2 linked regions of the Notamacropus eugenii genome follow. The protein of the gene in region 2 purifies or fractionates together with the protein of the main gene of each other region. This does not show direct contact. Links are inferred from orthologs where the notes say so. Each region holds a gene or a part of one and is shown on either strand. Other genes may lie near its edges.

Region 1 (3,748 bases), on a different chromosome or scaffold from region 2:
CTCGGTGAGGGGCCCCTTGAGGCACACACAGAATCCCCTATGGGTTCCCTGGGGTTTTCCCCCATGGACATGAAATCCCCCCCCCCCACCAGTGCCCACCTGCTTTATAGGGCAATCAGACAAAGAAGGCATCATGCCAACATGAAGTTCACAAGTTAACTTTAGCAACATTGTCATTCAGCACAATCGTAGTAAATATCAATTCTGTCACTCCCCTATCTCACGGTGCAGCCTCAGTATGATTCTAAGAACTACAATCTAGAATTCTTGAGACTTTTAGCAGTTACTATGTAACACTTGGAAACTGGACATTCCCATGGCCATAGACCCTGAGAAACTAAACTAAAAAAGATAACAAAATCCTCCTTACATACCGTAGTTACATGGAATTTCCAAAAGGAATATCCTATTAACTCATATACTCTGTTATTTTGGAAAAGGCACATCTTTCAGCAGATTTATAGGCACCTAACAGTTCTCAACACTTTGTGAGTTTGACATGCGATGACATTCAACGTTGAAGATGGTGAATGATGGCATAATTCACTCATTCAATAAGCATTTATTAAATATCTTCCGTATGCCAGGCATCGTGCTAAGCACCCGGGATACAGAAAGAGACAAAAGAAAGTTTCAGCCCTTAAGTAGCTTACAAACTCAGGTGGGAGACAACATGCAAACACACACACCTATATATATACGTGCATATACACACATATGTATATGTGCCCACACACACACAGAGTAAACTATGTTCAGGAGCACCTGGAAGGTACCGAAATCAAGAGGGGCTGGGGAAGCCTTCCTGGGGGATTTTAGTCGGGAGGAGTGGAGAAGACAGAGCATTCCAGGTCCAAGCACGGGGCTTTAGGAAAACCAAGCCTTCGTTTTTAGGAGAGATGGGGCGAAATTTTATAAAATATGAGGTTGCCTGCCTTATTTAGAATAGTGGTCTGCAGCCTGCCCTTTGCACAGCACATGGTCCGGGCTGTTCCAGTTTTTGAAAAAGCAGCTATTAAAGTATAAAAGCTTCCCTACAGCTTGAACCCCAGCGAGAAGGAATCCCAAGGGGCTCGCTGCGTGGCCGGAGGGTGCAAATAATCAAACAGCAGCAATGATTTCTACAACAAGCTCTTCCCCCGGAGCTCACGAACTTCAAAGAAAAAATGTTTTATTAATTATTTCACCGTAATTGGCTTCCTTTGGAAACTGACGAGATTTCACTCCTTTTATCTTAGGCGCTGCTCGTCATCGCTGCCATGACTGTAAGGACGGGTCCTCCGCACACGAGCGGTGACGTTTCCTCGGCTGTTGGACTGGAAGCTCCTCGAGGGTAAGGGGTGAAACTGACTTAAAGAGGGCTCTACACAGGCCGGGAGAGTGGCCACTTGGAGCCGCTGCGTCACCCACATCGCGCACGCGCATGGCGCTCCGGCCGGAAGTTCCAACCCCGGAAGTGCCTCTCGAGGCCGGCTCCGCTCCGGAACACGGGATCCGCGGCCGTGGTTGGCGCCACCACGGAGCGAACCTGCCCGGTAATGCGGCTGCGCGGGAGGCGAGGGGGCGGGGCCGGGAGGCGGCTGCCTCGGGAGTCTGGCGGACCCCGCGGTCCAGTTTGAAGAGGGAGGTTTGTCATTGCAGGACCGACTCCCGCGATGCCGGCCTTCAGACAGGTGGGAGAGAAGCAGCTGCCCCAGGAGATCATTTTCATGGCCTGGTCTCCCAAGAGGGACCTCATTGCCTTAGCCAACAAAGTGGGGGAGGTAAGTGAAAGACGGGGGATGCTCTCCCCCGCAACAGCGCCCCAGCCTCCCCGGGCCTCAGTTTCCCCTCCAGCTCCAGGTCTATGATGATACCCCAGAGCCGCTCTCCGGGGAAGGGACCTTTCCAGTCTCTGGGAGAAGCACAATGAACTCAAACACTTCTCCTCACAATCCACTGAAGAAGCTTCTGAAAAACATTGCAAAAATAAACATTGACATAGAGGTCAAAAGTTATCTTTCATTAGAAAGCAAGTTTACTTTAATATTTTTCTGTTTAAGGATTTTTTCATATAGAAAGCTAACACAGTCGCGTAGTAAGACGGAGAAACAATAGGTACCGAAATGGAAGCATGTGCGAGGGGTGCCAACATGGGCCTGATGATCGTGTCATTTTTGGTTTCCCATCGAAGTTGAAATATTTTCCAAAAAATTCAATAATATATAAAAAGTTGCGCATTACACTTTTACCAGTTGTCTGCCCTTTAAAATATCTATACGAAAAGACTAAGGTAGGGCCAAAAAAACCTAAAACCCTTTTACAATGCAAGACATGAGGTTAAAAGGTTGTGTTATCTGCCTTGGAGATGAGGAAATAGGTTCAGTCAGCAGGCATCTATGAAGTGCTTCAAACACTGCGCTAAGTACTGGGGATCCAGAGAAAAGTAAAAAAAAGTGAAGTCTCTGCTTTGCCTCAGACAAGTCAAGTGATTTACCCGGTGTAATGTAGCAAGTACTTGGCAACATTGTAATTCGTTCCCAGGTGCAAAATGTTCTGGTTTTTTTTTGGGGAGGATGATGCTGGAACAGGAAAGAGAGTTAGAGAAGGTTTTTCCAACTGGGCCTTAGTGACTTTTTAGGAGTTCAGTTGGTAAAGAAAGATGCAAGGGAAGAGCATTCCAGAATGAAGAGAGTGAGTGAGAAAGCAGGGGATATGTATGGAAAAAATGGAGTAAGTCATTTTGTTGGCCTGTAAAATGTCTCATTGAATTTGTGGTAAAAAAAAAAAAATGGTTGGGTTTGTTTCCCAGTTCCCACGAACACCTACTCCCTATGTAGTCTTCAGCAAGTCTTTTCACTTTTAGGTATCTGTTCAGTCTCCCATCTTCATGCCTTTGCACATGCCAGACCTGGGATACACTTTCTTATCACTTCTGCCTCTTGGAATTTCTGCTTGTTTTAAAATTCAGTTCAAGAGCTTCCTCTACATGAAGCTTTTTATTATCCTCCTAGATGCTAGTGTCACCTTGTACTCATTCCCTATGTGTTATGTTTATACTTATATGTATACATTTAGTCTTCCTCATTTAAATGTAAGCTCTTTGACAGCTGGGACTAAAGTTCCACTTTTGTTTTTATATCTTCAGTGCGTAGCTCAGTGTCTCATGCGCACAATGCTTAATAAATGCTCTTAGCTTTAAATCTTAGGAGTCTATGAATGTGTGAAGGGGAGTAGTGCGACATGAGTCTGGAAGGGGATGCTACTTGTAGTGAGAACTACATTATGGAGGATCTTGGGCTTTTTTTGACCTTTGATTTCATCTGTGTAAGGAATTTGAGAAAATTTCTTCCACCAGTACTGATGGGCAATTCTGAGTTGCTGAGGGGTTAATTAATTTCATGGTTATGCAGCTCTTATGTGTCAGAGATGATAATTGCACCTGAATCTTTTTGACTCAGTAGGGCAGCTTTGGAGAGTTTTAAATAGGGTGATGGACAGAGTGAAAGGAGGAGACAAATGCTAGAGGTATTGAAGAACACTTCAATATTTATATCATATACATGTAAGCAACTTGAGCATAGACATGTTTATTCTTTGTATTTGTACCCCTATCCCCTAGCATAGTGCCTAGTACGTAGTAATAAATACTTACTGATTTTTTAAGCAAACTGGATTTCTAGAGACATTTCAAATTCATCACATCCAAAACTCACTATCCTTTTCCCCAAACCCATCCCTCTTCCTGATGTCTTAGTTTTTGTCAAAG
Region 2 (3,748 bases):
GTGCAGGCTAGCTAAGATTTCTGCTTTAAATTATATACCTCATAAACATCATTTTCATCATCCATCATTATCCTTCTTATTATCAATACATCAGCATTACTAAGAAGGTGGCAGTGGTGTTGTCAAAAGAGAATAGATTTACAGGGAAAACACCTGGGTTCTACTTCTAGCTTGGCTACTTACCTTTTTGACATTTCATTTACACTTTCTGGGCCTCAGTTCCACATGACCCCCTCTTCCCCTCTCATCTGTAAAATGAGAAGATTAGACAAAATGACCAGAACCTGTTGGTGGTACAGTGGATAGAATGATGAACCTGGAGTCAGGAAGAGCTGAGTTCAAATGCTACCTCAGACACTTAGTACACCTAGTAGCTGGGTGACCCTGGGCAAGTCACTTAACCTCTGTTTGCTTCAGTTTCCTCAGCTGTGAACTAGAGGTAATAATTGTATCTACTTTGCTGGGTTGTTGTGAGAACCAGATGAGATACTTGTGAAAAGCACTTAGCCTGGTGCCTAGCACTGTGCACATAGAAGGTACTTTATAAATGCTGGTTTCCTTCCCTTCCTTTTCAACGTTCTTTCAAACTCTGAAACTTAGGATCATATGAATTTCTCCTTATGACTGATTGTCATCAACTTAGTGAGAAGTAAGGAAGGGTTTTGATGTAGGGTATAGTAAGATTGCTAATTCCATTGAGACACTTTTAAGGAGCTCCCGGCTGTACCAGTTTCTCTACAGCCCCTAGCCTACAGACCTGTAACCTTTCTCAGTATCCCTTGCACATATAAACCAGAAACCAGGCTTCTTGTTTTGGACATCAGAGCAGTGAGGAAGCAGAATGGTATCTCAGAGGTGATTGTTGGGCTTTTTTTCCTCATGTGGAAAACCAGAAAGTAGACAGTCTTTTTCAGAAAATAGGCAAACTTCCTACCTTTTCTCCAGGGTTATTTAGATTAAATGCAATTCAGTTCCAGTAGCAAACATTTAGATACCAACTATATGCAACGCACTATGGAAATATGCCTAGCAAAAATTATTTTTTTTACATATACCGTTAGTGAGTAGTGAATTTAAGTAGAAAATTCTCATTGGGAGCCATATTAAACATAACCAGGCTATTGAATTGATGGATTTTAGGGAGTATTTTTAGTTTGGAGACGCCACCAGGTGATGACTTTGAGTACTACATTTGCTTTAAATGTGTGCAAAGCTCAAAAAATGAAAAGTTGTGTTTCAGACTGATTGCCTCACCTCAGGAATGAAACCCAGTGTTCACCTGGGAGGCTAAAGGTTTACTTGGAAGTTCTGATAACATTTGGTTTTGGCACAGAGTGATAAGTGTGTGTCCAGGACAGATTGTTCTTTCTGGCATACTTGCTGTCTCAGTGACATAGTTTGGTTTCTTCTCCAGTCACATTGTTGCATCAGCACTGCCTGCCTTGGCACCTGGGTTATAGCCTATAAACTGTTCACACCTTCTGTCTGGAGCTTCCTTTTAACATCAGTAATGATACTTTTTAAAAGGTGGGAAGTTTTTTTGGGGGGTGGTTGTGTTTTTTTGGTGTAGTGGTGGTTTGTTGTTTTTGTTATTTTTGAGAAAGCCAACTACCAGCAAATTTATTTTCTCTTCCGAACTAGAGTCAGGATTTCACCCAGGACATAAGGAATGGGGAGGTTGTGAGAGATCTGACTGCTGCCCAGAACTGAATTCAGTCTTGTCTGGTTCTGTTTCCATAAACCTGCTAACTGCTGTTGTGTTTTTCTTTTTCTTTTTCTCTCATTGACTAGAAAGAAAATGGCTGCCTCTTCATCCTCGTCCTCAGCTGGAGGGGTCAGTGGAAGTTCTGTAACTGGATCTGGCTTTAGTGTCTCAGACCTTGCCCCACCACGGAAAGCCCTTTTCACCTACCCCAAAGGAGCTGGAGAAATGTTAGAAGGTGAACATACTCTGCTTTTTGCTGAATAATTAGATTCAAATTTATAATAAAATAGTAAAGTATCTATTAAAAGGAATGTAGATAGAAGTATACCAGCCTCAAAACAGAATAACCTCTTTTTCACGTTCCCTGTTTTGTCCCTAATGTCCAAGGAACTCTCTGTCCTCTAGTTAGCAGGTTGTATCTTTTTTTTTTTTTTAGCTTACCATACTAAAGAAAAATAAACCCCATTACCTAGTTTCTAGGAGATGAAAATAATCTTAATATAGACTTAATTATGTATATATAAACTTAATTTTAAAATAGACTAAATGTAAAATTAACATTACTAACTCCACTGCCAGGGCATGTGCTTTGAGTTTTTCCAGTGGTAGAGATGGATTTGCATTGAACCATCCTCACTCTCTCATTCAGACCTCCTTGTGACCAACAACAGACATTTGCAAAACAGCTGGCCAAGGTTAGGGATGCAGTCTGTGGCCATGGAAAAGAGCAAAGGTAACTCTACATATGGGAAAACCAACCCTGGATCTCAGCCTTTTTCGCATAATGCAGTAACCAACTGAGCTAATCCCTTGGGGGTATGGGAACCATTCTGATCACCGCTAACCTCTTGCTTATATATAGGATATTGGCCCTTTATCTCTCTATTTCTAATCTCACCAGTGCATCTGGGCCCCTTGGCAGACCCTTGGAAGTGTTAGTATGTATGAGAGGCAGGCTTTATATAGTCTGTAAAAAAGGGCTCAACTTGGAATCAGAAGACCTCAATTCCCATTCTGATTCTGCTACCTAGTGGCAGTGTGGCTATTCACTCTACCTTTCTTGTCACATTCTCTCCATATGTAAAATGGGGATAATTGTGCTTGTCCTAGCTACGTCTGTAGAGTTGGTATGAGAAAAGTACTTTGTAGACCTTAAAGCACAATGTAAGCAAATGCGTAAGGTTATTATCTGGTGCAGAGTTGTTCCCCCTCCCAAAGCAGTTCATCATCCTTTTGGCTATTACAGCCTTCAGTATTCACATTTATAAACTTATCTGGATATTTCTCTTTGCTTACACACATGAGAAAGGTGAAATCTGCCGCTTGAGGAATCTGCTTGTGGAATCAGTGCTTTTAACCTGGGGAAGCAGAGAGGTAATTTGTGAAAGAAAAATGCAGGAGGGTTAACTGTGAAGCCCATGAAGACTTCTAGACTTGGTTTGTATTATTAATATAGTGGATAACTTAGCAGTATAGTCCAGTGAACAGTCTTTACTAAGCCCCTACTCTGTGCCAGGCACTGCTAAGTTCTGAGAATATAAAGAATGGCAAAAACATGATCCCTGCTCTCAGTGACAGTCCAGTGCAGGGGAGATGACAGGCAAATGAGACATAAGCAGGGTAATTCAGAAATGATCAGCCGAGGGAAGATGCTAGAATTAGGAGGATTGTACAAAGTGAGATTTTAGCTGAAACTTCAGGAGGAGGAGGAGGCATAGATGAGGAAGAAGGAAATTCCAGGGAAAATGCCTGTACAAAGACCAGCTTATGGGGCTGGTTGTCAGAGCATGGAGAAGGAGCCAGGTCATGAAGATCTCTAAATGTCAAGCAGCAGAATTTCTATTTGTTCCGGGATTGTAATTAATAACAGTTCTGATGTGGGCTTCTGTCCTTCTAGTCTTACAGAGATCTGGAGCGAGAAGAAGAGCTGTGTACCAGGATGCACGTGTTAGCACCATTGACCCTGTAGGCAGCTTGGAGCTAGTGTTCTGTTATGTTAAGCACAGTACCCCATATGCTAGTATGAGTTATGTGGAATGAAGG

The links.
Region 1: the proteins of ANAPC16 (region 2) and ANAPC4 purify together in Homo sapiens (co-immunoprecipitation; 10 studies listed by BioGRID and IntAct, with this or other methods). This does not show direct contact. The link is inferred for Notamacropus eugenii from reciprocal best matches to the Homo sapiens genes ANAPC16 and ANAPC4.

Annotation. Positions count from the first base shown.
Region 1 is NC_092877.1:78,213,351-78,217,098, forward strand, and holds the start of ANAPC4 (anaphase-promoting complex subunit 4), read left to right. Parts: upstream 1-1,164; 5' UTR 1,165-1,423; coding exon 1,424-1,535; intron 1,536-1,641; coding exon 1,642-1,763; intron 1,764-3,748. UniProt on the Homo sapiens protein: Component of the anaphase promoting complex/cyclosome (APC/C), a cell cycle-regulated E3 ubiquitin ligase that controls progression through mitosis and the G1 phase of the cell cycle.
Region 2 is NC_092872.1:238,075,214-238,078,961, reverse strand, and holds the start of ANAPC16 (anaphase-promoting complex subunit 16), read left to right. Parts: upstream 1-1,437; 5' UTR 1,438-1,510; coding exon 1,511-1,527; intron 1,528-1,791; coding exon 1,792-1,940; intron 1,941-2,354; coding exon 2,355-2,438; intron 2,439-3,748. UniProt on the Homo sapiens protein: Component of the anaphase promoting complex/cyclosome (APC/C), a cell cycle-regulated E3 ubiquitin ligase that controls progression through mitosis and the G1 phase of the cell cycle.